Linked DNA regions of Nothobranchius furzeri. The protein of the gene in region 4 binds, or shares a complex with, the protein of the main gene of each other region. Links are inferred from orthologs where the notes say so. Each region holds a gene or a part of one and is shown on either strand. Other genes may lie near its edges. The genes, in order: akap17a, ppp1r8b, c17h9orf78 and ttf2.

The links.
Region 1: ttf2 (region 4) and akap17a share a complex: the UniProt entries of both Homo sapiens proteins name them as parts of the spliceosome. The link is inferred for Nothobranchius furzeri from reciprocal best matches to the Homo sapiens genes TTF2 and AKAP17A.
Region 2: ttf2 (region 4) and ppp1r8b share a complex: the UniProt entries of both Homo sapiens proteins name them as parts of the spliceosome. The link is inferred for Nothobranchius furzeri from reciprocal best matches to the Homo sapiens genes TTF2 and PPP1R8.
Region 3: ttf2 (region 4) and c17h9orf78 share a complex: the UniProt entries of both Homo sapiens proteins name them as parts of the spliceosome. The link is inferred for Nothobranchius furzeri from reciprocal best matches to the Homo sapiens genes TTF2 and C9orf78.

What each region holds. Positions count from the first base shown.
Region 1 is NC_091754.1:16,998,439-17,006,096, reverse strand, and holds the start of akap17a (A-kinase anchor protein 17A), read left to right. Parts: upstream 1-3,549; 5' UTR 3,550-3,730; intron 3,731-7,147; 5' UTR 7,148-7,168; coding exon 7,169-7,495; intron 7,496-7,575; coding exon 7,576-7,658. Other genes in the region: sowahca (ankyrin repeat domain-containing protein SOWAHC), read left to right, coding at 1-45. UniProt on the Homo sapiens protein: Splice factor regulating alternative splice site selection for certain mRNA precursors. Mediates regulation of pre-mRNA splicing in a PKA-dependent manner.
Region 2 is NC_091745.1:71,998,288-72,006,058, forward strand, and holds the start of ppp1r8b (protein phosphatase 1, regulatory subunit 8b), read left to right. Parts: upstream 1-3,224; 5' UTR 3,225-3,430; coding exon 3,431-3,480; intron 3,481-3,931; coding exon 3,932-3,992; intron 3,993-4,216; exon of another isoform or gene 4,217-4,382; intron 4,383-4,431; coding exon 4,432-4,585; intron 4,586-4,676; coding exon 4,677-4,894; intron 4,895-6,757; coding exon 6,758-6,902; intron 6,903-7,192; coding exon 7,193-7,257; intron 7,258-7,353; coding exon 7,354-7,707; 3' UTR 7,708-7,771. Other genes in the region: protein THEMIS2, read right to left, coding at 197-622, 697-837, 1,193-1,292. UniProt on the Homo sapiens protein: Inhibitor subunit of the major nuclear protein phosphatase-1 (PP-1). It has RNA-binding activity but does not cleave RNA and may target PP-1 to RNA-associated substrates. May also be involved in pre-mRNA splicing.
Region 3 is NC_091757.1:40,165,563-40,173,189, reverse strand, and holds c17h9orf78 (splicing factor C9orf78 homolog), read left to right. Parts: upstream 1-4,540; 5' UTR 4,541-4,639; coding exon 4,640-4,719; intron 4,720-4,875; coding exon 4,876-4,935; intron 4,936-5,074; coding exon 5,075-5,126; intron 5,127-5,213; coding exon 5,214-5,284; intron 5,285-5,402; coding exon 5,403-5,480; intron 5,481-6,295; coding exon 6,296-6,493; intron 6,494-6,568; coding exon 6,569-6,705; intron 6,706-6,779; coding exon 6,780-6,884; intron 6,885-6,988; coding exon 6,989-7,086; 3' UTR 7,087-7,425; downstream 7,426-7,627. Other genes in the region: NFU1 iron-sulfur cluster scaffold homolog, mitochondrial, read right to left, coding at 3,389-3,524, 3,720-3,820, 4,413-4,471. UniProt on the Homo sapiens protein: Plays a role in pre-mRNA splicing by promoting usage of the upstream 3'-splice site at alternative NAGNAG splice sites; these are sites featuring alternative acceptor motifs separated by only a few nucleotides. May also modulate exon inclusion events.
Region 4 is NC_091754.1:32,989,071-32,996,744, reverse strand, and holds the start of ttf2 (transcription termination factor 2), read right to left. Parts: upstream 4,148-7,674; 5' UTR 4,062-4,147; coding exon 3,866-4,061; intron 3,706-3,865; coding exon 3,600-3,705; intron 3,399-3,599; coding exon 3,312-3,398; intron 3,222-3,311; coding exon 3,152-3,221; intron 2,334-3,151; coding exon 1,539-2,333; intron 1,243-1,538; coding exon 1,122-1,242; intron 955-1,121; coding exon 796-954; intron 697-795; coding exon 542-696; intron 457-541; coding exon 375-456; intron 1-374. Other genes in the region: cpap (centromere protein J), read left to right, coding at 4,908-5,222, 6,225-6,420, 6,682-6,799, 6,886-6,991, 7,126-7,674. UniProt on the Homo sapiens protein: DsDNA-dependent ATPase which acts as a transcription termination factor by coupling ATP hydrolysis with removal of RNA polymerase II from the DNA template. May contribute to mitotic transcription repression. May also be involved in pre-mRNA splicing.

The DNA.
Region 1 (7,658 bases), about 16 Mb from region 4:
AGAAGTCCTCTTCGAACTCGACCTCTGTCCAACCTGTTTGGATGAAGTGCAACCAGCAGTATAGAAGTAGCATATGTAGATTTATAATCTGACAGGTCAGATTTTCATTTGGAAAACAGAACAGCTGGAGTTTTTCTGTTGACGTTTACTGGAGAAACTAGAAAGGCTTTTGTTCCTGATGCAGTAAAGAAAGGGAGGGCACAGTTTACGTAGCAATTTATTTCCAACGGTCTAAAAAAAACATTTTCCAACCTTTTTTAATGTATTTTCTAGAAGCAGCTAAACACTACTTCAGGAATTGGAAGATTTTTCACACGAACGGCATTAGAGTGGGTTTTCACGTTAGCATAGCATCAACAAAACTGACAGCACTTTTTATTCGTTCAACACTAGTCGCCAAAACCTTTTTTTTATTTTTATTTTTTACAAAGTAAATTATTTATAGAGTTCTGTTTCTACACTCCCAAGTTCTCAATAGTGGTATGGTGCAGATGTTTTTGTTGCATTTCTACAATGTGAACAAATGTCCTGATTTTCTAAGTAGCAGATTTTATTATTCTACACGGATTCATTCATTCATGCATTCATTTGTATGCTCAGCTCATGTGCACTTGTCACTTTAAACTTTGAAGGTTGTCTTTGGGGGTTAGAACTAAATAGGGGTTTCTTTTCCCGATTATATATATATATATATATATATATATATATATATATATATATATATATATATATATATAGACAGATTTTTATTTTATAGTTTCCACAAAAAATGTCAGGAGCACAGAATTAAGAAATTATTTAAATTTTTTTTGTTTAAAACAAAAAAATTTTGACATTTGCGGCTGCTTTAGCAAAGCGAACGCACACAGAGCACATTTTTAAAAAAATTTTTTTTACTAACTACAATGGTTTTGAACATTCACTTTAATATATTTAATCATGTTTTCTTTCAAATTAAGCTGAACTCTCAAAACATGACACAAAGTTTGTTGTTTCCTGCAGAAACTTTTCATTAAACATTTAAAAATGATAAATTATTTCAGACAGAAGCAGCTGATCACAGATTATTGTTCCTTTTGGAGTAAACAGACATTCCAGAAACTTTTAATGTGTGTTATTTATTAATACACATTTACCTAAATTTGCACATACACAATGGTTATGGTTTATTTTTTTAGTGCTTGCAACTAGCAGGAGTTGTTCTCCTGTATTTGCTCAGCAGCATCATGAAGACTTCCTGACTGTTCTCCCAAACATGTGAACCTCCAAAATTTAACTTTTTGATTTCTTGAATGTCCCTTTTATATTCTCTAGCATTTCTACTCAGATGTAATTCTATGGTTTCCACATTCCTGTAGAAATGTTTTAATATATGTCCTTTCTCATCAGCACGAGTTATTTTCTACTGTAAATGTTTGTGACGTGAAATTCTGTGAAGTTATTCTGCGGTGCTGAATCATGCGAGTCACTTTTGTCTTTCTTGATTCATTTAATTAAACGTTAAAGCAATAAACGTTTGCATCGATGTAAACTTCATTTATTTTACAGACCTCTATTGAGGTGACCTGTTTGCTGGCTCTCTGTGGTTGTCCCTGTGCGGCGGGGCTGAAAATTGATGATCTGATGACTCCGGACGCCAGCTTTGGAACAGCATTCACTGCAAATCCACGGCTTCCTGTTTCAAGCTGGTCAATGCAAAATATTTAAAGAGTTTTTCAGCGGCACCTTCGGATTGTTTAGTCAGAAACGTGGGCTCCTCTAGTGAAGTTGGGGGTTGTGTGTGAACCTTTTAATCGTGCTATTTTATAACCACATAATTGATATTAGATGCAAACAAGTGTGAGGCTTTTTTTTTTCTTCCAGGGATGCCGTGAGCCGCCTCGCTGACTGCTGATCGGGACAGAACAGAGAGGCTGTCTGACTGCAGCCACTGACCTACATACACACACACTGCCTGTTATGTAAATTCCTCTGCCATCTTTTCAGGGGAAACTGTGCCAACTTTGTCGCCCGGGGTCTTTTTAGAGTAATCCATGTCCAGTCCATCCACTTCTCCCACTTTTATATGGAATAGTCGTCATGGTGACCAGCAGTGCTAAATAGGCATTGAGCTTTTGTGACAAATAACCACGTCTTTTTTATTGGCTGGGTGATTCATAAAGCTTCAAAATGCACCTTAACACTAATTTAAAGAAAATGTTTATGTCATGCTCTGTGAAATATTCCTGATAAATTCCAGCCTTCTATTCAGAGGTCGTCGGTCCATCACAAAGCTGCACAGATGTACAGTATAGATTCACATGTAGGACCGGTTTAGTGTAGCTAACTAACCAAACATGTAAATTATTGGGCTGTGGGAGAAAACCAAAGAACAAACAAAAACATAAACATGCACGCAAACTTAATTTAAAGATTTAGAGCTATCAGCCACACCGCAGTGTGGTCCCTCTATTGGCTTATTTGGCTAAAATAGGTTATTTGTCTTCCATTAGCTCAATTTTCACATGTATTTGGACAAAACAGCATGACAAATGTGTTGTCTTTATTGTGCATTGCAAAAATATTTTTGCACTATTTTCAGCACAAAATTGTAATGGGATGAAAACAATGTAGCTAAATATGTCACAAACTATAGGTGAAGACCACTTTAAATGATTACTATAAAATATGACTAATTCTAAATAAAATGACATCAGATTGAACTGGTAAAAAATATGTATTTTGCACCACAGTGCAGGGGCATCTTCCATTGGCATCTTCCTCTTTAGAGGGCCAAAAGTTCAACAGTTACAGAAATCATTAAATAATTTATTAAATGTATCATTAAATTAAGTACAATCTGAAATACATGAACAGTTTATTCATTATACATTCTTTAAAAAAAGCACCGCACATAAAAGTATCTAATTTATTTTTGAAAGCATAAATAGTTCATGATTTTAATGTAACCATAAGGTTTCTAATACAGGTTTAATTTTTTTTTACTTGAAAAAACTTTTACATAAATCCATTTCTAAATCTTTTAACCTTCGGTTTGGGATCACAACTATGGAAGCCCATTCCCGCCACTCAGATAAAATAAAAAAAAATTATTATCTCATAATTATGACTTAGCTATCTCATAATAATGAGATACTATCTCATTATTATGACTTAGTATCTCATAATTATGACTTAGTATCTCATAATTATGACTTAGCTATCTCATTATTATGAGACAGTATCTCATTATTACGACTTAGTATCTCATAATTATGACTTAGCTATCTCATTATTATGAGATACTATCTCATTATTATGAGATAGCTAAGTCATAATTATGAGATAATAATTTTATTTTATTTTATCTGAGTGGCCGGAATGGGCTTCCATAGCTCTTGACCTGGAAACGTATTTATTTATGTTTCTTTCGGTCCTCCTTATTCTTCAATACGTTTGTTATAAACTCGACTAACTCTGACTGAACTGCGGTTTCTCTTTCAGACCAGATGGTGTCGCTGTTGCATAACTCCGCGACTGCGTCGTTGTCACACACACGTTGACTTTTTAAGAGGTCATAGTTCGGTGGATGCGGAACTAGCATGCAGTAGCAACCAAACATGTCTGTGGTAGCGACTTGGTGTACAGTTTTGTGCTTATACGGATAGTTTTTGCTCCGCAGTGATTTGCTCTGCTGGAAACCTCACGATATTTTTATCATTGTTTTTATCAGGATTCTAATTAATGTTGGGTAAGTTGTTGATAAATATTTAATAATTCGCGTCAGCACAGCGCTGGAAGCGGTTTTTGTGTTTTGCTTGTTTGAGCTAAAGCTAACTAGCTTCATATTAGATATGAAATTAGCTTGTCCACCAAGCTATTAACGAGCACCTAATGCTTTAAATGCCTTTTGCTAACTACTTGTTGATGGAACATTTTACAGTCTCGAGCTTGTTAGCCTCAGTTATTAGCATTGCATTCAGAGTTTGTTTTGCAAGTAACCTTGATGTTTAATACAACTTTTTCACCGGCTAAATATGTGTTGATAGTTTTAAATACGTTTCTTCTTCTATTGTGTTGTTAGTGCCCGATGTTGAAGGTATTTATTTATTAGGTACGGTTTGGCAAGACAATTTGTTTCAGTTGAACTGTGAATAAATATGTTTATTTTCAGTTAAATTTCAAAAGATATTTTAAGCCTATGAAAGACCAATGTAGTTATGCAGTTGTGGACTTTTTCTAATTCTCTTTATTATTTAGATACGGCATGAGGCCCGCCCCGTGTGTGTGACCATTTAGATGTTAATGAATTAAACTAAATTTATTTTCAAAATGAATGTAGAACAAGTAAACAAAATATAAGTTTGTAATAACAAATCAAGCTTGTTAAAGAGCAAGTCACCCCCATAACAATATTTTTTGCTGATAAACCAAATGAGTGTCTAACCGTGCTGTAGACACGTGTAGTCAGTAATTAATCACATTAGTGCATCTCAGTTAAAATTTTAATTTTCTGCCTTTAACAGTCTGTGTTGCGCCCTCATCAGGTAAAAACTGCACTGCATTTCAATTTAAACCTGCCATCCCTATTGGCTAAGAGGTACTGATGTTGTCAACTGGTACCATATGATGTCACAGTGCCACTGTGAGCCTGTATTTGTGTTAGTGGCTCCACTGGGGTTGGACGATGGGGTGAATTTTTCAACCGTCGGCAATGGGCTGAACCATTGCGATTTTTATTACTAGAGGCGATTTGTCTTATTTATTTATCAATGTGTTTTGCTGTGCATACATTTGTTAATGACAGATATTTTACACGTTGCGCACAGACAACATAGCAGCGGGATGAAAAAAAAGATCTCCATCAGTGCATCAGAGCATTATTTCTCACTTATTCCGCATCTTGCTGCTTACATGGCGCGCTGAATAGGAGCTGGGAGTGTCTGTGATGCAATAAACATCGTGCAAAAGAACACAGTGTTGAGTGGAAAGTGGAAACTTTTCTTTCAGAGAGTCTGGAAGACTTATGGTTATTTAATTTGGAGAGATGTTTCCTGATTTTAAAACTTTGGCCTAAAGGCACAGGCACACCGGAGATGGATGAGCTGCATCGTGCCCGCTCCGTAGTTTTAAATAGAAGCCATTATAGTTAATGACAGTGGCTACGCGAAGAGCGCCGCGTTGATCCTAACGTATTCTAATAAATAGCGTACTTACTAGGGTTGTCATGGTAACCGGTGTAGCGGTAAACCTCGGTAAAAAAGTTGACAGTAATAATAACCGTCTTGTTTTTAAAAAATCTATATTATCTCTGTGGGTTTACCGTGGCTGCGGTGTAGGCGCGGTGACCCTTATCAGTCACCGTATCATCTGCTGAAGTTGCCTGGCGCGCTTTATTGTTTACAACCAAAACTTTCTTGAAGCTAAAGCTGAAATAATGGCCAAGGGAGGAGACGGCAGCACTCAGGAGGACATTTTTTATCCCTCAAAGAAGACAAAGTGGGAAGTACGGGCATCTTTTGGATATTTGAAGAATGCCGAGAGACAGCTGATAGAAGACGGCTATCCTGTTTGCAGTACATGCAGAAAAAGTATCTGTGAAAGGCAGCAACGCTTCAAATCTCATGACACATCTGCGTGACCATCACCCACAACTCTACAGTCAACGCAAGGCAAGCTAACATTAGCGTTTTAGCTAAAATGCGTGGTCCGAGGATTTGGGTCGAGGGAGAATGCAACGAGTCGCTATATAAAGCAGCCGCAGCGCCGCTACCTGCATATAAACCGTGTCACGGACACCCCCATGTTGAAATGACGCTATGCATTACGGGGCTCCCAGGGGCAGATAAGAGTTGGTCTCTCTCCGAGAATAATTATGAATTTAACAATGATTACTGCCTGATGACATTTTCCCACATCTGCAAAGCTCACTGGAAGGACACAAACCGAGGACAATATTTTCCTGATATAGGGTTTATTACTCAAGTAAGGGTAAAAAAGTATCTGATTAGAAGGCTGCTTGAGTACTGAGTATCATCTGATCTAATATTTTTAAATGATGACATCAAACAGACATAAAACAAGAAGTTATGGTCGAATATTGGTATTTTAAAGACTAAAGGGAAAAAATGTAAACAAATAAACAACATAATTACAAAATAACACATTTAGGCAAAATTTAGACACAAACTGAGGACAATATTTCCTGACATACAGGGTTTATTTAATTGTGTGAAAATGTAGCACGTTTAAAAAAATACCGCGATAATACCGAAAACCGTGGTAATTTTGGTCACAATAACCGTGAGGTTAAATTTCACACCGTGACAACCCTAGTGCTTACCCATATTTAATAAATTAGTCTCACAAAACATGACGGCAAGTTTGATCACATATAAACAATAGTCACTTCCCCCTTCCTGTTCTCAAATCCCACGTGATGTTGTGACTGATTGTTATTTCAAAAATGAAAGTGACGGGGATAACTGGATCATGTGACCTCTGGCTGCAATGCTCTCTACTAAGAGGCCGTCCAACTGCAGCAGCAATTAATTTCATTTCTCAGTCATAAAAGAAAGAAACCCAGTAGCCTTTGTTCAGGGAAAAAAAAAACCTTTTGCTTAAATAAAATACCCCAATAGTGGCACCGCAGAGAAGCAAAGACGAGGCTTCTTTTTAACATTTTAACTGTGTTTAATACGAGCTGTTTATACGTCACTCTACCAAACTACAAATACAAAATTAAATAAAAAGAAAAATCAAACTTTCTCCTTCAGCAAACATTTGCAAAAAAAAACCCAAGTGTTTGTACTTCTATTGTAATCAGTCATGACGTTGCTCAGAGTCACATGCACAAATAGATCGCCCATCGTCATTTATTGGACTGACTATTGGCAGTGGCAAAAATTGTACAAATCGCCCAACCCTAGGCTCCGCCCTCTCGGTCTGTCAGCCAACAGCATTTCTTGCATTTTTCAAATATGAACTGGGAGTGGAGTAAGACTCTGGTAGGGGGTGACTTGCTCTTTAAACTCCCATCAGTTTCAATTTTGCAAAAGAGAAAAACAACAAAAATATATTTTAATGATTATTAGTCATATTTAATCCTGACCGTTTGAGAATTTCCCAGAAAACTTTTTTATTGTTTTATTAATATTTTGTTTCCCAGCATCTGCGTACTTTAGGAGGAATGACCACCATCGTCCACGACACCACAGAGGCAGTGTGTCTGTCTGCTGAGTACAACCTGTACCTGAAGCCCATTGCCAAAATGACCGTCAGTGTAGCTTTGCCTCAGCTCAAGCTGCCAGGCAAGAGCATCTCCAACTGGGAGGTGATGGAGAGGGTAAAGGCCATGGTGGCTCCAGAGCAGTTTTCAGCTCTGCGTATCTCCAAGAGCACTTTGGACTTCATCCGCTTTGAGGGTGAAGTGGAAAACAAGACGGTGGTCAAGAGTCTGCTGAGTCGTCTGGATGGAAAAACCATCAAACTCAGTGGATTTACTGATGTCCTGAAGGTAAAGCTGACACTCACTGCTGTGTGGGTCCTTTTTAGTTTTAATTTTTTCTTTTATACCTGATGCTTTTCTCCCCCTAGGTACGTGCAGTAGAAAACAAAATGGATTTCCCCACGCGCCATGACTGGGACTCTTTTTTTCGAGATGCAAAAGACATGAACGA
Region 2 (7,771 bases), on a different chromosome or scaffold from region 4:
GCCAAAAAAAAACATACAGAAGCAGAACAAAGAAAATGTTTTAAATTCTGGATCAGTACTTAGACATCATGAATTGAAAGTACTCATGCAGAAAGTATGCCCCTGAGAATGTTCAGTACTTACATTTAGGGAGTTTAGGGTTTTGTGTTTCAGGTCTAATTTAAAGACATAGTTTAAAAAAATTTGTCATTCTTACAGTTCATAATGGCCTGGATCTGGTAAACTGGACTGAGGACGAGGACCCGCTCACAGTTGGTTTTCTTAACCAAGCAAAACCTTCGGCTACGCAGAAAGGGTGAAGACATGATCTCCTTCAGGGTGTAGCATTCTTCGCTCTCGCACTCGTAAAACTGCCCCCGAGACGACAAAGGGATGCGGACTTCAGCCGAGGCCTCTGCTTCTCCTTTAACGTGGCACCGCACCTGATCCTCTTTCCCCTCGTGTTTCTCGATGGCGATCACAGTCAAAGCCTTGCCGGCCCCCAGGGTGAAGGTGTCAAGTGTCATTTTAGTGTGGCTGTGGAAAGTAAAAGGCAGGAAGGACTCCTGGCCCACAGGCCTCAGACTCATCATCTCTTCAACTGAACTGTATGGCATCTGCTCCGGGACGACCTTGAACAGCCCTGAAAAAACAATTATGTGTGAGTGAGCTGCAACAACAACCAAACTATGGTACTATTACGAACTTCTTCCTAACCTGCATGGCTGACTGGCAGTTCAAATGTCTCCTTGTTGGCAACATCCTCACAGGAGACAGACTGCAGTTCAATACCGATGACTTTTATTAGATCCCCAGTGGAGAAGCTAACTTCACTCCCAGATATTTCATACACCGAACCTGATGCATGAAACGAACCCGTCAGGCATATAAAAGTTCCCAAATGTGCCTCGATGATGAAGTTTTTTATGATTATGAAAATTTTAATCATAATAAATGTGACTAATTTAGCTAGGAAACACAATGTTTGATCTTTACATTCCTATACTCAGAAATTTGTACCTTTATTATCTTAATAAATAAGTAAATCTTATTTATATAGCACTCATCACAGACAAAGAATCACAAGGGGCTTCATTGAAATCAAAACAAAATTAATCATAAAGTCATAAAATCATAATGATCTTAAAACAGATCTAAATACATAACTAAATAAATAAATAAATAAATAAATAAATAAATAAATAAAACCCACCTTGGAAATAGACTCCAGAGCAAATCTGTAGAATTTTCGGTAAACTGCTGGGATCCAGCGATGCAATAAAATCTTGAAGCGGCAAAGCAATGCCTGCCATGGTTGCTGCCTCGGCGAGTCGAAATAAGACTGAAGACAAGTGTTAAATGACGACTGCAGCTAAAAAGGAGTTGCGCTTCTAGCAAAACCACAAAAGTATATGAGGAAGTGACAGGAGCTTTTGCACAACATTTTTCATTTTTAAGGGAGGGGGGAAGTTTATGAGTTATGACGGAGGCCCTGTTTTACTGTCAAGATTTGTGATTTTAAAAATCGTTGACAGCAGCTTATTGTTGTGGAGCCAATTGAAATGTAAAAAATTCACTGTTAAAACAAAAGTTACTGCAAGGCTAAGATTGGTTCTTGGTTTGTACCAGTAGCTAAATGAAAAACACGTCATTGCCAGATTAGAAAGAAGTGGATGATTGGAAATAAAGTGTGATGAATGTGACTTGTTCTGTTGCAAATAACTGAAAGAAAAACACAAACTAGGAACATAACCTAAAAACTCTCATGTGACTCACCTGGATACATCAAATAGGTTAATTTTAGTCATACCAGTTTTGTCTAACATGTTTCCTGTGACAAACTATGTTTTCAACCAATGAATGATCAAAGGCACCTTACCCAAACATGTTCTTTTTTGTGTTTTATCATTTATAAGGGAACTTTGATGGCATTAGTTTATTTGTAAAAGGACAAAAAGACTGCAGGCTCATTTCCTTCTGCTTTAAAGAGAAACTAAAAGTATGGCAGCTTTACTTTTTCTATGACAAGACCGAAGCCTATGACCCTCAAACCCACAGTTTACAAATCAGAAAGAGAAAATAAGCAAAGCGTCAGTCGAATCTGGCTACTTATTCATCCCTTTTCTGTGTTAAACTCTAGGTGCTGAATCTTTGTAACAAATGCTGTAGGAGGCTTGTGGTATCGCTGTTTCCAAACCAACATTTCAAACTTTTTCAAAACTTTATTTTTTGGGTCTTTACTGAGAATTTGCAATTTGGAGTTCAGAGACCTCCAGTGGTTTCTTTAGGAACTTTAAATTTTATAAAAGCCACATTTTTGACAAATACATGTTAATATCTCTTAAAACAAAAAGGACATTTTTTTTTCTTATTTGAAACATTAAAAAACACCAAACAAATTTTTAATGTTAATTTTTTTTAATGAACATTTCTAAATGGACTTTGAGATAAATCCTTGTTGGTTAAACAAATGGCCTGGTTTTATCAAATAATAAAATAGTGGCTTTTAAAATTATCATCTGAATGAATCTGCTCAAATGTCTTGGGCTACTTAAATTATTCAAACAGAAAACCGTAAGTCATCTCAATCTAGATGTTCTTGTAAAATATTGTTTTTGTTTTGTTTTTGTGGAAAAGGTAACTTTTGCAATTTAGCCCATCCTTCTGTCAAAAGGCACTACCTTTGGATTGGCCACAGTTGTAAGAAATACTTTGTCTTGTTAAATAAAGGTTAAAAGTTTTAAAATAAAAACATCTGGCTGTGTCACACAAAATGCACTAAAAAGCTGTTTTCTAGGGGTGGCCATGGCCACCCCTGGCCACCCTTGGGGGCACCCTTGCGTGTGCTTGATTTGTGTTTTTGTTGGGCTGAAGAGAAGCTGCTTAAGTAAAAGTAAAATTTGTCACCTCCATCTGTCTGAAACATATAAACAGAATCAGTTTACATTAAACAAAACTATGTTGTTATGATGTACATTATCTTTCCAGTATAAAGAAAAACTTATCATTTAAGGTCTATTGTTTTAATATTAACAGAATTGGACTGAAATTATATAATTTGTTTTTATTTAATCATTATTAGGTGAGTAGCTGTTTCCGCCCCTGTTGCGCGTTAATGTTCTCTTTTGATAACAAATTGCAACTTTACACACAGTAGTAGATTTGTGATGATAAAATTAGTGTTTTTTATGAACTATAAATGTGACTTACCTGAACTTTTTTCTTTATTATTTTTAGTAGACTACTTCATACTAACTCTAAAACCCGAATTTAATCATAAACTCAACAATATATAAGTTCCACACACAACCACATCTATAAATGCGAAATATTAGCTTGTTTTTTGTACTTTTACTTTTTTTTAATATGGCGTGGTCTATTACCGGACTACATTTCCCAGCATTCCTAAGCGACAATTACCCAAAATGCATCGTTAACATGTAGAGGGAAGATGGCAGCTAAAACAAGCAAAGACGGTCCACCTTTTGACTGCCCATCATGGTGAGAAAATGCACATGTTGAAGTACTAAAATACCAACTGCAGCGCTTGATTATGTGCAAACGAGCAAAACGACGTTGTTACGTTAACAATTGTAACTTTTATAGAGGAAAGAAGTTCGTTAGCGTTAGCATCCAATCGAGCTAGCAGGCTAACCCCTCCTACAAGGCTAGCCTAAATGCGGATCACGGTTTGCTTTCTGCTTGAAAATGAATGAAAGGCTTGATTTTAAAAGTTTCTCACCTAGTTGAAACGTATAGAGGTGACAGCAGGACATTTTTTGACAGATATGCTCTTGAAGTATTCGGTTCGAGTGAAAAGAGCTAAATGTTTGAATAAATGAATTAAAATTAGATTATAAAATGGTTAAATATGCTGTAAATATATTTATGCACTGCTGTATTTTCTGAGATCAGTTCAGTGTTTAAATAAGTCTCTAATTGTTTCTTATAGGGGAGGAAAACCGCCCACAGGACTGCACTTAGACGTGATGAAAGGAGACAAACTGGTTGAGGTAACTGGAAATTTAAACTGTTATTTAGTTTGGACTCTTTAAAATCAGCTTTAATTATCTCAGTTCTATTTAATTTCTAAGTTAAAAATCCAGATTTGTTTAATCTCTTAAACATAAGCAAATTCCACAATAAAATGTCATTCCTTATTATTTTAAACATCTAATGATTCTGTTTTCCACATAGCAGAACACACATGTGATTGTTACTATTGTACAAATGTTAAAAGCACCAGATACAAGCCTGACAGTCTGCTCCGCCCTGTGCGTGTTGCACAATGGGGTTAACCTATGACTGCATGGCTTCAAAAGGTGCGAGAACAACATCAGCCCTGAGATTTAAGCCCTTCAGTGGAAAGCAACACTGTTGAGTTATAACTCAGAGGCACAAATGCATTAATGTACGCCATTACTAATTCACACCATCCGTTTCTCCTTGTAGAAACTGATCATAGATGAAAAGAAGTTCTACCTGTTTGGTAGGAACCCCGACTGGTGTGACTTCACCATCGACCATCAGTCGTGCTCGCGTGTTCACGCCGCTCTAGTCTACCATAAACACCTAAAAAGGCTCTTCCTTATAGATCTTAATAGCAGTAAGATTTCACAAACACTTTAATTATTTCTCAGTCACTCTGCTCTTTTAATGTATTAATCCTAATTATTATTATTTTTTTACAATTTAAGCACATGGTACCTTCCTCGGACACATTCGCCTTGAGCCTCACAAGCCTCAGCAGGTTCCAATCGACTCTACAATATCCTTCGGGGCGTCAACACGTACCTACACCATCAGAGAAAAACCCCAAACCCAAGGAAGCGCTGGCACCGGCGACAGTAAGACAGGAGATGAGGAGGAGCTAAAAGGACTGCTCGGGCTTCCGGAGGAAGAGACAGAGTTGGAGGTTTGTTAGAATTCAGATCAGCTCCACTGACTCGCCGCTTGTTACTCTTGACTTGTTTTGACATCCTGTTTTGCGCTTGTGGCATCTTAATGGAATTATTTGTATGCAAATTAGCCACAGTGTGAAATGATCTCAGTGTGTTTGGTTTTTTAACTCACTCACTGCCAGCCGTTTCCTGATCACTTACCCCCAAATTCCACTACCTCCGCTCCGACACGAACGCCGGAGCAAAATCGGTCCCGTTGTAGTCAATCAGAGCAATTCCACTACTGCGGCCGTGCTCCGGCAATGCGGCGCAGTGCGCTGCCCTCTGTTCCGGCGTCCGGCAAAAATAGAATCGATCCTATTTTCGCCGGACGCCGGAGCACCTCCGCAGTAAATGGACAGAAATCACAACCGCCCAACAGGAAAAGGAGCAAGCACAACTTCCGTTTTTCACAATAAATCGATAAAAAAAGGCGTTTTTTGTTTCATATGCACAGGTTTAACAACTTTTAACAACTATCAGTGGCGGCTGAAGTTTAAATGCACAAAAGTAAGCCATAAATACAGTTTCTACTATCAAAGTAGTCACACTTTGTTCATCCAAACACTGCTGATCTCTCAACACAAATGATGGGCAGATTAAACAGTTCATGCCGATGCTTCTCCCACACAACGGGTGTTTGGATCTAACTTCCGCGTTTATTGCTCGGACTGTATCGCAAGATCTCGAAAATCCCGTGCATGCTTGTTTGCCCACCTCAGGTCTCCGCACCGGAGCGGAGCCGTTGTAGAGCGGGTACCAGTAAAAATTGAGTTTGGAAGCGAGCGGCTGCGGAAGGCGGGGCGGACCGGACCAGAGCGGAATGGAGGTAGTGGAATTTGGGGGTAACGGCCTTCGCTGCCAGCGTTTCTCACCATTTTTATGATTTTTTTTAAGAGTCACAGAACGTTGCGCGCTAGCATGATGTCAATGCCAAAACAACCAAAAACAAAGAGGAGACTCACCTCTTACATCAGGAAGAAGCCGTGTGTTTCGAGCATTATCCGTTCTTTCATAATCCGTTGTCGAATTGTGATCGGCAGACGCTTTTCCGGTTCGCGCCTCACTTTTTTTTACAGGAACGGCCCAAAACGATCTCCTAACACATGGATGTTCTGCTTCCTGATCACGTGATATGTGACGTATGCGGATGAAGATCAGCTTCAGGGCTGAGATGTTTGTTCTCTCAGGGCGGGGGCTCGTGCCGATGCTCAAACAGTAAAAAAATGCAAATGACGACGTCATTGGCAGTGAATGAGTTAACTGCACCACATTTTTTCCCGACATCTCCAATTTTCTTTTTTTTTTTGTTTGTTTGCTTTTTACTGTTGATTTTTCAGCATTTTGACTTTGTTTATTAAGCTTCAAGTTGAAAGGAAGCAAAAAGCCTTAAATACTAGAGTTTTACTGCATTTTCTCTTTTCTTGCAGCAATAACTCGTTCTTTTACTATTTGGTGCATCAAATATGGACACGGACACCATTTTTGTTTTCTATTTGTAACGTCACAGATAACTCTTCTGTGTTTTAAGACACACCAGTTACTTTAGTAACATGTTAAACTGTTTTATTTGACATTGTAACATGACTAATAGAAGCTGATGTCCCAGCAGTACCAGACTAAGAATCTTCTGGCACTGAGCCATAGCTGGTAACAGTTAAGAGCGGACACGTTTTATTTTGATACATGGACTGCCATATGCAAATTTGACCACGTGATGTCACTGTTACTTCATGCACCTTTTTATATCTATCCTGGGGAGGTGCTGCATCAGATAGAGCATGGTAATATCCTGGTGTCAGTGTGGTTTAACGACACTCTTTTGTGACTTCTGCCAGAATCTAACGGAGTTCAACACTGCTCACAACAAACGCATCTCCCTCCTGACCATCGAGGAAGGCAACCTGGAAATCCAGAGACCCAAGAGGAAACGGAGGAACTCCAGAGTTACTTTCAGTGAAGAGGACTCTATCATCAACCCAGGTACGTAGAAACACAAACATCTTTTGTTTAAAGCTTTATCTGTTTTCATTTCTTGGTCAAACCATCACTAGATTTTGATGGAGATGAGTTGGAAGTGTTGATCTAAACTACCTTTTTTAGGTTGATTTAGAGACAAATGTACAAAAAACTCAAATTTGTGCCCTTAAATGTGAATCAGAGTAATGTAACAGTTTTTTATTTATTTTATTTTACATTGGTGATGTCTTCAGTGCAGTAAAAAAAAAGTAGTTCATCTGATGTAAACTGTCCTTATTTGTTGACTTATTCAGAGGACATAGACCCATCGGTCGGCCGCTTCAGGAATATGATTCAGACAGCCGTCATCCCCATGAAGGTAAATGTTTCACCCCACAGGTGAACGTAATTCTCCATTAATAATGGAAGTAGTTGTTTCCAAGTTTTAGTTTTTATTCCTCCGTCCGTTTTGCAGAAGCGAAGATCTGACGGCCAAAACACTCTGGGTCTGGACGATCTGGCTTCAAAGCGTATCCACGGCTACAGCTTAGGTGGTGGACTTTATGGCGACTTGCCTCCTACCAGTCATGAGAACAAGCCAACGGGAGCTCCGGGAGGTGTTGCTATGCAAGGAGGGCTTCCGCTGCCCTTCCCTAATCCAGCGCCAGAGGTAGACTTGGACCCAGATGCTCCTCAGCCCCTCATCACCCTTAACCCCACACCTGTAACAGCTCCCTACCTGCCAGAGACCCTCAACGAGCCGCGCAAAAAGAAGTACGCCAAAGAGGCGTGGCCAGGAAAGAAACCCACGCCCTCGCTACTCATCTAAGCAGTTTTTCTGTAGTGCTGCCGACTCTCAGGTTTCCAGCAGATACATCAGGGACTGTGACCTG
Region 3 (7,627 bases), on a different chromosome or scaffold from region 4:
GCCTGCCACCTCATACCATTAAAATCTCTCCCTTCTTCCACAGTTACAGCAAAACTGCTCATTAAGTATGTGTTCCGGCTGCACGGTATCCCTGAGGAGATTCTCTCCGTTCGGGGACCCCAGTTCATCTCTAGAGTATGGAAGGAGTTCGCCGAGGCTCTGGGAGCCAGTCGCCCTCACGACTGGTTACCACGCGCAGACTAATGGACAATGTGAGCGCATGAACCAGGAGCTCGGGGCGATGCTGTGCTGCGTCTGCTCCGCTCACCCATCCTCCTGGAGTTCCCACTTCGCCTGGGTCGAATATGCCCATAACTGCCACGTCTCAACTTCAACAGGTCAGTCTCCCTTCGAAGCCTCCTTAGGGTATCAACCAGCCCTGTTTCCCCAGCAGCCCTCGGCTCCCTCCACGGTTCCGCAGTTCCTCCGGGGGGCCAAACGTGCTTGGGCCTCCACCCGGGAGGCTCTTGACAGAACAGCCGATAAAAACAAACGGATGGCGGATCGCCGGCAGCGCCTGGCTCCGGATTACGCCCCTGGTCAGGAGGTCTGGTTCTCATCCAAGGACATCCCGCTAAAGGCAACCTCCTGTAAGCTGTCTCCCAGGTTCCTAGGTCCGTTCAAGATACTGGACGTCCCTACTCCCTCCACAATTCGGTTGGAGCTCCCACGCTCCCTTAAGGTTCACCCTGTATTTCACGAGTCCTTAGTTAAGCCTGTGGTTTCGAGCCCCCTCTGCCCTCCGCCAGCTCCTCCGCCGCCTGTGCGGTTCAAAAAGGGGGGTTTGGTTTATACAGTTCGCAGGATTCTGGATTTTCAACCCCGTGGCCGGGATACCCAGTACCTGGTCGACTGGGAGGGGTACGGTCCGGAGGAGCGTTCCTGGGTCCCCCACTCCTTCATTGAGGATCCGTCCCTGATCCGGGACTACGAGGCCGCGTCAGCTAGGATGCCAGGAGGAGACCGTTTTTTTTGGGGGGGGGGGGGGGGGGGGGGGGTACTGTCATGTGCCGGGGTGAGTACTCCTCTCAGATTTCCCATCTTTGAGTTATGTGTTTCAGGAGAGGGAGGCTCCAGCTGCAGCTGATTTGAAATCAGCGGGTCTGGCTACAAAAGGAGGGTGAAGAACACTCCTCGACGCCGGATGATTACTACAGCTTGGTAGTTTCCTGCCCACTTGCGACTCTTGGATTTTGTGCTCTAGTGTTTCTAGGAATTTTTGTGAACCTTTGGATCTTTTCCCTGTGCTTACCCGTTACCAGGTTTTGGAATGTTTTTGGACTTCTGTAACTTCTCTGGATTACGTCTCTGGTTTTCTGCGACTCCTCAGGATTACTCACCTGTGCCCCATAGGATTTCCGGACGCAGCTCTCACCGTTCTCCATTCCTCCAGGCCAGCCCGCACTCCTTTCACTCCCTCTCCTGGACACCCCACTTGGATTTACCCCGGCACTCAACCTACCCTCCCTCATTCCTACGCTCCCCTTCTCCCAGTAAGTCTATTCTCTGCACCCATCAAGTTTAGACTTACCATCCTGGACTCACCTGTATCTGCTCTCCCCTCCTCAGATGCTGCACTCCCGTTCTCGATCTCCACTGGGCTTTTCCAGTGCACCCTCAGTTCCCGTTTAAAAATAAGATTCTTTTTTTTCTTTACCATAAGGTCTGTGAATGTGTGATTCTGCATGTCTTGGGTTAAACACATTCCCCAAACCATGTCACTTTGGAGCATTAATGTTTATTTGAATTGTTTTGGTACAACAAACTAAACTGAATGTCATACAAAGAGTGAAGCATAGAAGTTTTATGGAGAAATAAGTTGATAAAACTCTGGGCGGACCTTCTAAAAAAGTCATTTAGACACCATTAGAAATTTCTCTTGGCTTCTTCTCCCCCTTTCTTATGTCCCATCCTAGTCATTACATATATAAAAAAAACATCTGTTGATTAGAGATGTAAGAAAATTTCAATATGGCAATATATCGTATCGTCTCCCCTGTATTGTGATACGTATCATATAGCCAGAATTTCACCACTACACATCCCTACTGTTGATACCACTTTACATTTCTGTTCCCCCTAAAAGACTACTTATTATGCTTATTACAAATATACAAATGCCAAAAGAGGGACTTAAAGTAGTATCATATAGATTGAGTTAATTTTAAATGGCTTGTTCATATGTTTAGGAATGCAAAATATATAAATAGTGAGACTCGGTCCTGCTGTTATCTTACAAATCAATGGTGACAGACTTTACACTTTAAACTGGGGCTCCCTTTGACATTTGTGGATATTTCATAATACAGTTATAAAATATAATAATATTTGCTAAAAGTATGTTTACAAATGCCCATTTAGCTAACAAGGCAGCAACTTAGTTTGAAATGTTTAAAATGGCAACTGTAGACAAAACATACAAGTGATTATATTTGGCTCACCATTTAGCAATTTTTGTCTCTTTCTTGCCCCCAATGACGATAAACACTTATAAAGAGTTACAGATGAATTAATTTCAACATATTTATTAACATTTACCAATCATTTATAAGGGGTGCCTTATTGTAAAGTGGTACCAACAATTATTTGGGGTTAGTTTGGAAAAATCCACCATTTCAAAGAAATAAGAAAACAAAGTACCGAAAAACTAATACCTGACTCTTAATTAGAGCTTGGTTTCAAAACTTGGTGCCTCTTCAGTCCGAAAATACTTAGTAGGTATTGGTATATTTTTGGTGCTAGACGTTGTGGTTTTGGCTTGGTTCAAAGTTAGCAGCCCTCTGCGGGCCCCTGGTGGCCCTATGCAATGCATGCCCTGCTTATTAACACACAATGCATCTATTTGAGCCGAAGTATGCACTGTCTTTAATCGTGAAAAAATAAAATAAAATAAATAAAAGCTGACCCGAGTCTACAACCTTTGTCCTCTGCTGCATCAACAGCAACAAGAAAAATAGCCAGGTCTCATGTTTACAGTGTACATAGTTTATCTCTTATTTACATTGTATGTTTATTCATTTTGTATTTATTTTGGGATCTAAATATTTTTATTTCATGTTTTTAGAGAAGATGTTTCATATGTCTTGCACCAAAGAATATATAATAGTTGCACTTTATTTTCATACTGTTAACCTTTGCTTTGTACTAAAAGCTAAATACTACCTTTTCCTATTTATAAACTGTATATATATATAAACTATTACATTTTTAAGATGACAGTAAAAAATGTTGCTTCCACCATTTAGACAAGCCTCTCTCAGTTAAGTGGATACAATATGCATATATTGGCAAACATACAACAAGGTACCCCCTGGTACAGAGTTTGCTCAGAGTAAGGAAACAACTTGATATGTTAATATGAGATTAGTAATCTTGTATTAGGAAATACCTGGCTAAAGGTGAGCAGTAAGCATCACGAGGGCCTGCAAAATTCATGGTTCCCTCTTCGAGAACTGTCCGCCCAGGCAAAAACTTTAGACTGTTTGGATTTGGAGTATCCTGTGTCTGCACAAACATGGACCTTCCTGTAACATAAAAAATGTAATGCAAATTTTTAAAAAGGGCTACAAGAGAATTGTGGTCATTTTCTGCATGTGCAGAATGCCCGATTTTCTCACAACACCTAAGCATCTGACATCACTGTGGAAAACGTGACAATAAAAGACAATCACTCTTATTTAATAAAAAGTCACACTAGAGGTTGCAGCAAATAAACAAACCAGGAACAGTCCAGAAGGGGTTTTGTGGCCATCTGTTTGAAACTCCAGTAGCTTGCGAGGGCCAGTGGAATCCATTGCTCTGACATCCACTGCCAACAAGACTGAAAATAATGAACAGATAAACAGTAATATAAAAAAAACATTCTTTATTATAAAAAATATTATGCTGTTGTGTGTAGGGACGATTTCTTTACCGTCACTAAAATGTGGCAATAATAAGACGGGTAAACTCCTGTTTAGAAGATGTGCGAACAAGCTCCTACACTGAACAGGAACACCAAATCAAATACAAATGCTATAACTAAGGAAAGCAAAACATTAATAAAAAGGCAATGGCGCGATGACAGAGTTGTTTCAGCACGCTTTAAAAACGCGTTCTGCACATTTGTTCTGGTGATTTGTATTTTTTCCCCTACTAAATAAAAATGATCAAAAAGATGGATGCAAGATAAAAATTTATTACATTTATGCAGGTTTGTTTAGTGTTAATTTTACTTTAAGGGCATTTTTGATGGGAAAAAACATCGTAATGAAACATTCCTCGTTTCCAGACCTAATGTTTAGTCTGCGTCATTCCACACTAAACCAACAAGCTTAAACACAGTCGCATAGAAATGACTCACATGTTGCAAAAAGTAAAAGAAAAAAAATTAAACACAATAGAAGGTAAAATCCTGCAAAATATCCACTTACGGTCGTGAAAGTCTAGCAGAAATCCCCAACAACCCGCTAACGTGTTTATAAGCCGCCATGATTGTTATGGTTGTGATCCTTCAAGAAGAACGGAAGTAGATTATACTTTTCCGGAAGTGACGAATATTTTTGTACGTCTGTTAAAGTTTCCCCCCGAAATTATCAGCGTCAAGCTTACGCGCAGTAAGGCGCTGCTTCTTCAAATATTTACGTTAAACTATCTAAATATGCCTTGTGGTAGGCATTTTAGAAGAAGACAAGATTCGTCGGATGATGAAGAGGAGGATGAAACAACAGAAGAAGTCAGGTAAAATACTCGAACAACGAGTTGTTAAGATATATGTTGTGTTAGCAAACTAGCCGCTAACCCAAAATTAAAGTAACAGAACGCCATTGTTGTTAGTTGTATTTTAATAAGCTGCCTACCTAAATATGTTTGTGCTTTTGTATTTTTTTTTCTTAGATCAAAAGTAGAAGAGGCTAAAGAACTTCAGAGTTTGAGGAAACGACAGAGCGGAGTCAGGTAACATGTTAATATGAATGTAGAATGGAAGACATCTTTATTATGTAGCACGTTTCACACAGAAGCAATTAGTTGTGCTTAATGTCAATACTTAACTGCTTGGATGTGAATTAACTTACACCTTTTACTTTTTGTCTAGTGTGACAGCTTTATTGGTGGGAGAGAAACTGCCTCCAGAAGTCGAAATTGATGTAAGTTTTCTTTGGAAAAAAAAATGTGTGTGTGTGTTGAATAGCAACATGTTGAACGTTTACTTTTTTATTGATCACTTCTGACAGAATGATCCTTTCAAACTGAAGACGGGAGGAGTTGTAGACATGAAGAAAGTGAAAGACAGGAATAGAGACATGTGAGTCAAGTTTTCCACCCTCAGGTGCAACATAGATACCTGCCTGAATGCTTTGTACAATTAAACCAAATCCAGTTAATCGGATATGACTGACTCATCCAGGATGATTCATTAACAGGACAGAAGATGAAACCGACCTCAGCCTGGGCACTTCATTCTCCGCCGAGACCAACAGAAGGGATGAAGATGCAGACATGTGAGCTTTTCTTTAAACTGTATTATAATCATTTCCTCTTCAGACTCAACATTGTCCAACCTCTATTTAAATTGTGCTCTGTTTTTTTCCTCTCTAACGGAAATTTCTGACTTTTGAGATAATTTTTCTCATGTCAAGAAATTCAATAATAAAAAAATTAAGAGGTGTGTGTAGGTCGTCAACATTCATGTCCCTTTAAGAAGCTGTACCACCCTGAGCCAAAATGTGACTCAACCTAACACATGTGACAGCCCCATCTAGGCCATATCGCCCAGCCCTAAAAGGAAGGTGTTCAGTTGATTTCCTCCGTCTGGCAAAAAATATTCCATCATACATAATAAAGTTGAATTTCCACAAAGAAAACAAATTAAAAACAAGTTTGGTCCAACAATGGCTGCCCTGGACAAGAAATAACACTGGTGTTTACCTGGGTTTTCATCTCTTTAAACAACTAAAATAGTGTCAGTATTTGTCAGAAATCAAATTTTGCTCAACAAAACAATTTATGCACCAACCCCTGAATTAACCAGCTGTTAATGTTGACTGTAAAATCAGTCAAACTACAAAGACTGCTTTTGTCTGAGATGAAATGGTGTTGGAACTTTTGTTAGCATGTTACTGGCTGGCTTCATTCAGCATTTTAAGAAAAGGCTTTTTATTCTACTAAAGAAAGTTGGAAAAGCAATCTCAATTCTTGAATTACATGAACTTTGTTACTAAATATTTAAGTATCTACAAGTTAGTATTCAAAATCTTAACGTAGCTGCCATCCAGTTGTTCGTGTGGGACATTTCCCATTGTGTTTTTCTTTACAGGATGAAATATATTGAGACAGAGTTAAAAAAGAAGAAAGGCCTGGTGGAGGCTGAGGAACAGAAAATTAAGGTGAAAAATGCAGAGGACCACCTGTACGAACTTCCTGAGAACATCCGAGTGAACTCTGCCAAGAAGACAGAGGAGATGTTGTCCAATCAGATGCTGAGTGGGATCCCGGAGGTTGACCTTGGCATTGAGTAAATTCAGAAGATTCTTTAATAATTCAGCTCTTTTTATTTTACTCAAATTAATCCCTGTCGTTTCATTCTCAGTGCAAAGATTAAAAACATTATCCAGACAGAAGAGGCAAAAGCCAAACTTCTGGCAGAGCAAAGGAACAAGAAGAAAGACCTCGGGACGTCGTTTGTTCCCACGAATATTGCTGTTAATTATGTCCAACATAACCGCTGTGAGTTCAGGCTGTCTGCATCCGTTCCAGCTAGAGGAGAAAAGTTTGTTAATCATGCTTTTGTTTTCTTTTAGTCTACCATGAGGATGCAAATGCACCACAAAGGCACAACAGACACAGAGAAGAGCCCAAAGCAAGACCGCTGCGAGTGGGCGACACAGAGAAGCCAGGCCCAGAGGGTACGAGACACGACCACACAGTCACAGATACAAACCAAAAACACTTTTTGGTTCCTTTTTTCCAGAAACCAAAACCTGTACTCGTTTCTTTTGTCTGTCCGTAGCTCCGTCGCCACCGAACCCACGCAAACGTCCAAACAACGAGAAGGCCACGGATGACTACCACTACGAGAAGTTTAAGAAGATGAACCGAAGATATTAAAAAGTTGCATCTGTTTCCTCCACACAATGGCATCTGAAAATGTGAGCCGTTGCTAATTATTATTGAAAACATTTGTTGACCAAAATGTTGAAGCTCCAGATTTGTGTGATTTCCTGTTTGGTTTTTCAAACAAGTCAGCAGCTTTAGCTTCACTCTAAGTCTACAGTATTTTAGAGCTGGCTGTTCAATTATTAAGTGTGTAAAAATATATCTCGGTTTGTTTTTTTAAAACAAGAACCATACTAAAGTTTAAAAGTGATGCACTTAGCTAATGAGATGGAATAACTAGAGCAGCTGCTTGAAAATGAGACGTTAAGCAATAAAAAACCCAAAGCTGAACTGTTGGCTGCCATGTTTATCTTAAAAATAAAAAGTAGCTAATTTAAGTGGTTTACATGTAAACAAAGAACTGTAAGTATTCTGCTTTGAGCTAAATTTAATGTAAATGTCGTTTTTTTTAAATACTTTTTAATGCAAACCAAGAGGAACATTACTAATTTAGGTTTCAATAACAAAATAATTCAGATTTTTTTTAATTTCC
Region 4 (7,674 bases):
AAATGCTGAACACTAACTAGAAATTCACGAAAATTTTATAGAAATAAAAGAAATTTGTTTATTGGGTCTTTGGTAATTTAAGACCTTTGGAAACTGTATTTAAGGATTATTTGTCATTTTAAAGGATTTTTAAGGCCTTAAATTTGGAAAAGCTAATTTAAGACTTTTTAAGGACCCGTGGATACCCTGCTTCATGCGCTGATGATTTTAGAAAACACAAAATAAACATCTCAGTGGTTACAAAATGTAACTCAAAAAGAAACAAAAGCTCATTCTTAATGTTTAAAACAACATCTGAGATTTTGCTGCAGGACATTGAGAAATCTTGGATAAAGATCACGGAAACAGACGTAAAAAAAGATAATAAAGATTACCCAGAATTCCTCCACAGGGATTCTGCTTTTCCCTCCAGAGCAGCCAAGCCAATGCTCTTCTCTGATGAGCCATAAGTGTCACCTAGACAACCAACAACACAAAGGCAATGACAAAGTCTGATTGTGACTGAGCAGACACCAGAGTAGAGGCTGAAGGAGAAGGAAACCTTGATGCCACTGGGGTCAGGCACCTCAGCCTCAGCCTCAGGACAAGACTCCAAGGACTTGTGGAGATGATCGATGGCCTCACAGGTAGCATTCTTCACTGCCAGCAGACGATCATGGGTCATCTTGCCACCATAAAAGGCGTGCATCTGTGCATCTACACAAAACAGAACAAAATGTTAGTTTGTGTAAACATTAAGGAGGTGAAGGAAGAAAATACACACCAGTAAAGAGGTTTAACAGAGACTTGTCCTACCTCCAAACATCTGGGCATATCCCTGACTCAGGTGGAGGCCTGAGGCTTGGTGCTGAACCGGGTCTGAGACCGGGGGAGAGGAGAGCAGGATGGTACCACCCTGCTGGCAGGATGGACTGATGCTGGTGGTCCTAGTAGCAGACTGGCTGATGCTGGACTCTTAAAAGCGATTTACACAAGAGAGCAGCCGTGAGCAAAACCAGGTTTTTAGTCTTTTATCAGCTCCCTTCACTCAGAACTGATCCTTTAAATGAGATTGTTTCATGACCATCCGTTGTTCTGATTAACTGTCTCCATTTAATCCATTTGCATACGTTAAATCTCACCAGGCTGAGAAGCAGCAGCTAGGCTCAGAGACTCCAGAGCATCCTCTAACTCTTTCACCTGGGTCCTCAACCTCTCTCCTTTATCTGGCAGAGCTTCCACATTCACCACGGACAGAGTTGCCTAATACAGTAGACAGACACGCAATTACAACACACTCAGGTAATCATCACGCAAAGCTTCTTTGTTTCTCCGGTAAAACGAAGGTGTTCCTTGTTTGTCCGATGAGATCTTATGGTTCTGCTGCAGAAAACAGGAATGCAGAGATCGTGTAAGCATGAGAGAAACCCACCCTTGCGTCAGCAGGTGGTGTTATAGGCCAAACACATCACTAGCTATGATGCTACAGTTAATCTGATCAAAAGCAGAGGATGTCAGAATCTACAAGTGGAGGAAAGGAGTAGATTTTCTTAAACAACCTTTTTCTGTTTGAGCTGTGTGCTCAGCAGGCTGTGCATCCCGCTGGTGCTGTCCACCTTAGCAGCTGACTGGAACCCAGGGAAGCAGGTTAGGGTCTTCTGAACAGCAGAGAGGGGGGGCGTTTTCTGAGCCGGGGGTTTCACTGACACCAGCACGACATCATCATCATCATCCTCATCACTAGGGAGGGCTTCTGACTCTCTGGAAGCCTGCTGGCTGCCGTAGGGGGCAGATTTGGTTGCGCTGTCTTGAACCGAGGGTTCACCTTGACTCGCTGGTTTTTGTGACACGTTTTCAAAACCAGGAGAGGTTTGACTCTTGATGTGATGTACCACGAGGCTTGGTGCAGAAGTTTTTTTTTCTGCTCCTTCCTGCTCAGCAGAATGTTCCTTAGCCTCCTCTTGGGTCTTTGCAGTCATTACATTATCAGTGCCAGCTCTGTCCTTGCTGCTCTCCTCACTTGAAATCTTCTTCTTGATCTTCATCCCAGGTGGAAGAAGTTTCCTTTGATATACATCAGGCATGTTAGACTTTTTTTCCTCTTCTTTTTCTACTTTTGCACCTACAGCTTCCACATTTTCCTTCTGGCAACTTTCTCTTCTGTCGGCGTTAGGGCACACTTCACTGTTTTTCTTCTCCTTCTCTTTCCCTTTTTGACCATTGGTCTGCATTTTTCTCCACTCTGAGTCTTTCTCCATCTTGCTAGGGGCCTTGAAAGGGTTTCGGACAGAGGGAAGGGAGGAGGACTGCTGCAGCTGTGCATCAGATAGAGGAGCTCTCTTTTCTTTTTCCACCTGCAAACATTCAAAAACAACATGCATTAAATTATGTGTGAATTCAATATTAAAGAAGCATCTTAAAAAAAACATTTAAACTGTTTAATCACATGCAGTCCATGAAAAACAGTGTGGCGTGTGTGTGTGTGTCAGAGTGCAGCTGCAGGGGAGAAAGAGAGTAGTGCTTCAGAAGACGCACCAGGCGAGGAGAATTACACGAGCTGTGATGTGTTAGTAATCAGTTCCCTTTCCTTCATCTGCAGCAAGGGTCCGGGAACCTATGGATCAATGTCTTGAAAGCAGTAGGCTACATCTGGCACCCAACACTGGGTTTCAGCAGCTGGCCTGATGACATCAAAAGGTCAAGGCTGCTGTAACTCCCCTGACCTGGCGCATCTCCTGACGCCCAGCTTCCCTTCCTCTCCCCTGCAGCTGCACTCGGCACACGCACCACCACAAGCATTAATGCAGGTACATTTTTCATATAACCTACTGCAATCAGCCTTTAAGTTGCACTTAGAAAGGTTGAACCATCATATGAATTTACATCATCTACCCATGGGTTTGGAGGACTTTTAAACCATAAAATGAGTTTTGATTGGCATATTTGTCTTTTTAATCTCAGGGTGTTGATGCTGCTAGAATTGTAAACTCCCTTCTGCAAAATAAAGTATTTATGTCTGAGTGCAGGAAGTGAATTGAGCTAAAAAAAAAAAAGAAAAGATAGCCATTTAGGAGAGTGAGAGGCAAAACTGATGTGACTGGACTCAATAGATAGATCTGACCAAAGGCATGTAAAGTCCAAAACATTCTTGGTAAAATCAGTCAAATCTTACTGCAGTCCACGGCACGTTTCCACACCATTTCTGCCCGTCTCTTTTCCCAACAGTACACCTGAAGTAGAGTCTGAAACAGGGGAGAGTCAGCAGGCCAGAAGTGTTGATAACATGCTGCTTGTTAGGTTTAATTTCATAAAACATCTTTTTGCACACCCACCTGTGGCTCTGCTGCTGCTCACTGTAGCTGAGAGCCTGAAGTTCCACCACCGACTCCTCATGATGCAGGCAGCGTGACGGTGAGATACTAGAGAAGACAGCTTTATTATTATTTAATACTTCAAACAGGATGAGAATTGATGAATCCGTTGGTTTGTCCATTCATTTTATGTCATTTAATTTACATGGCCGCTAAAAGGTTATGTGTAGAATAGCTGGGATAACTATTATTTAGCTGAAGTGCAGTGGCCCCATGTCAGCTTCAGATCAACGCCCTCATGACTTATACCTGGCCTGTCGAGTGAACTCGCAGCCCTGCTTTGCAACGCAGACGTAAAAGCTCTTGTCTTTACTCGGTCCGTCTTTTACGCCCGTTTTTAACATACACACGCTGCCTGTAGAGAACAAAGACAATATTAGGAAAACACCAGTCTCAGAAAACGGGTCATAAAGTTTCGATAAAAACACAAAGAATTCATCACATTTTCGAAAAAATAGGCCAAAGTGTTTATTTTATAGCAATAAATAATGTTGAATGTTGTAATCACGACTTACCATGCGTATTACATACGACTTTTTCCATTCTCTCCAACAGCTCTAAATGAATGCAGTTGCCGTTTTCTTTTTGCCTGAACGTCTCATTGATGGTATTTTTTGTATTGACCAATCGCAATGGTCTAAATGCATTTCTGGTTTTTGAAATGCCAAAATAAAAGTTAACATCATACGTATAAATTGTATTTGGTAACATTTCCCATGAAATTACTATTGTATTTGTATATACAATTAATTGTAAAATTAGACCAACCGAAAAGACGAGAAAACTCCAAATTGACGGTACATCACATACCTAATTTTCTAATGGATATTAATGTGAAATGTTAGCGCCGATAAACCGGATTTAGCCCTAAATAGAAAAGATAAACGGAAAAGATGTAATGAAAACTAGTTTTACCGCTGTTGTTTTTACGTTTTGTGAAATTATTATAACGCGTATTACTTCAAGTCGGATATATGTTTAATTTTTAAATGAGCATTTTGAAAGATAAAACAAAACTGCATTACCCACAATGCATTATTGGTCCTTTTGCTCTCGCGGGCTTTGTTTTGATATGGCGGCAGGCTTCGAAAGTTCTGTTGGCTATCTTGATGTTTTATTTCTCTTCAAAGCTGTAAGAAAACTTTTCCAGAGTGTTTCAGGTAACTTCGATGCATTTTGAAATGTTGAATGACTTAGTGTATTTCATTTTTCTTCTCTTTTGTCGTGTTAATAACCGCTGAAAACGTTGTTTCTCGTTTTGCCCTACGAGTCTCCAAGCCTTTTAACTGTTTTGACGTTCCCACAAATAAATTACTTATTTCAGATCAGGCGTCCTGCTAAACTGTGCGGTAACTGTCCTGCTAGATCATTATTGGTCATTTTGTGTGCTGTGATAATATTAATGCCACAAAACTCGTTTGTAATTTAACGACACGTCTGAATGTGATTGAGTCATTGTATTTTATTTGGCTCTTGGCATCAGAAAGGGTGTGTTGTCACCATAATCTGTTTTCGAATCCTGGATTAGCAAACCCTTCCTGAAGCGACTCGGTCATCATGTCATCTCCAACCGAGCCGCGGTGCTCTCAGGCGGATTTCTTGGCCCGGTGGATACCAAGCAGCAGCAGAGCCGGGGTGATCCTGAAGCCTTCCGTGGGTCTGGCTGGACCCTTACAACCCATCTCTCCTGCATCACCCACGCCGCTGCATCCCGACAACTCCTTCTCCTCTGACTTCGCCCCTCTGCCAGCCTCTGCAGACAGCAGCTGCCTTGATGTGTGTGGATGTGTAGGATCAGCTGGGAATGACAGGCCGGTGAATGGACTGACAAACAAAGTGCAAGACTTGCCTCTTATGATGAAGCTAGACCAAGTAAGGAGTTCATTTTGTTGTTAGGCTCTAAGTTTTATTTAATTTGCATTTAGATCTTAAGATATAGTTTGTATCCAGTGGAATAGAAAATGCTGCAAATAAGAACAGAATAAAAGTGACATTTCTGTAACATGATGTCAAACAGGCCACTTGTATTCAAACGTGGCAGATCTGGTCAGTGAGAGTGTTCCTATGTTTGTCTAGCCCTTATAAAGTTCAAAGCGTAACAGTAGTTAAATTACACTAGAACAGTCTTCTGGTCAAAGGGTTAAAACTTTCCCATCACAGGAACTGCTGTGACTATTCATAGTGTTGTGAGGTTTAATTGCTGAGGTGTTAATCTGAGTTGGATTAGAGGCAGCGTGAGGTCACAGGTAAACATGCTGCCTGAGAATGCTGGAGTAGTGTCATGTTGTGTGTAGGGCTGCGTGATATTGGAAAAACCTGCGATGTGCGATAACGGTGATTAATGTTGCGATTACGATACGGCTTCAAATAAATACTTAACTCAGAACAGAAAATCAAAAAGAAAGAATTAAAAAAAATCAGAAGATGACTAAAAAAATATTTAAAAAATGGGAAACGCTAAATTGTGAGCAAAAGATGTGAGGAAAGGGGGAAAAAATGACCAAGAAAAGTCAGTCAGTGGATTCCGGGAAAAGCAGAATCTTCAGAAAGAGCAGAGGAAAGCTAACTCAGGTGTTTGCTAGCCATCCAAAATAAGTGCTGTCTGCCTAGGGGGCGGGCATCTAACTGATCAGAACCCACCCGATTGGCCAAATGGGTGAAGGGCTCTATTTGATTTGTAAAAACTTCATGCTTTTGTTTGACAAAATGCATCACGGAAGCAAATATTTGAGTTACCCACTCACTGTGTTTTTTTTCTGTTCTTTGCAATGTGCGTATTGCGCATGCTGATATCGCGATGGTGATGCATTTGCGATGTATTGTGCAGCCCTAGTTGTGTGTAAATGATCTGTAATGTTGTGTGTTTGTATGCAGTTGAGGAAATGGCAGCAGCACATGCAGGAGCAGCTGAAGGCCCACCAGCTGGAGGAGCTGCTGTCCCTGCAGGAGGAGCATCACAGGATTGTTAATGGATCACAGAGAACCAGCGTACTCGGACAGGAGAATCAGCTTTCAGCACCAATACGACAGGAGCTGCTTTTGAAGTGTCAGGGCTGTGAAAATGATGAGGGTGAGAAACAATGCTTTTACTGGCCTCTCTAGTCAGTTCACCTGCAAGTAGGATGTGTGGTGTGGTAAATCTTGTTGGGCAACAAAGAAGTTAAAGTTTCATATTATTTTTGAGTTTACTGTAGCTTTGCTAAATACGCTGTTTAAGGCAACATCTTCTCATTAGTCACAGAACAGGTGCAGCTAGTGTTTATCCTCATAATTGGTTTATAAATTCCCTCTGTTGATAAGTTCTTACTCTTTCCTTTGTGGACCACCACAGAAGAAGAGGAGATGCCTGTTGACGCCGGGCAGGAGCATGATGATGCATCAACCCAACATAAAGGTGTGGTGCAGAGGGAAGGTGACGGCAAACACCTTGGTGAAGTCGGTAATGACAGGTGAGTGTGTAGCGGTTTACAGGGATCAGAAAGTCTGGTCTGAGTCAACCAACTCAGACACGCTGTCTGCCGTGGCTCCTCCTCAGACCCATACAGCCGGGCCTCGGCGGTCAGAAGCAGACATTTGAGGAGCTGTTGGAGGAGCAGCTGAGACTGGAGGAGCAGAGGCTGAAGTTCGTTCAGCAGCAGCAGGTAAGACCGTGTATTTGCAACGGCAAAATGATGAACGGTTGAAGGCTGGACACATTAGAGCCTCACTCTGCTGACACGGTATTGGGCTACATTCTGAGGCGTGCTGGACTCACAGCGAATGTTTATGTTAACAGAAGCAAGAGGCTGTCCAGGCTCCTCCCAAGAGGCCCTTTTTGAAGCGAGGCCAGGGCCTTTCTAGGTTCACCAACAAACACAAAGCAGGGAAGAAAGACTACAACCTGCAACCCCATGGTAGAGTGATCTCCAGCTGCAACTCTGCTCCTGATGTTATTGTGAAAGGGAGTTCCACTCGTGTCCCACGGCTTCCTGTCCAGCGTAAAATAGCTGTACTCAACAAAGAAAACCGAGTGAGAGGTCTCTGTTCGCCACCTCAGGACACCAGAGCAGAGAGGAAAAAAGTTTTGGGTTGTCATCAAAGACGAAACACAGAACCAGAGGCCATAAAAACCAAGAATCAACCGGGCCATGTTGAGGAGCACAGTGGGAGGAAAGTGATTCAGGTTCTGAGGACTTGCAGCCCAAACATGCAGCAGAACCCTGTAACCAAAAAGGTGCTGGGAGGACAAACAATGTCTGACAGTGATACTGATAATAAGAAGAGTTCTGGTTCAAAAGTGGAATCAGCAGAAGTAAGAAGCGACTCGGAGAAGGGCGTCCGAGTT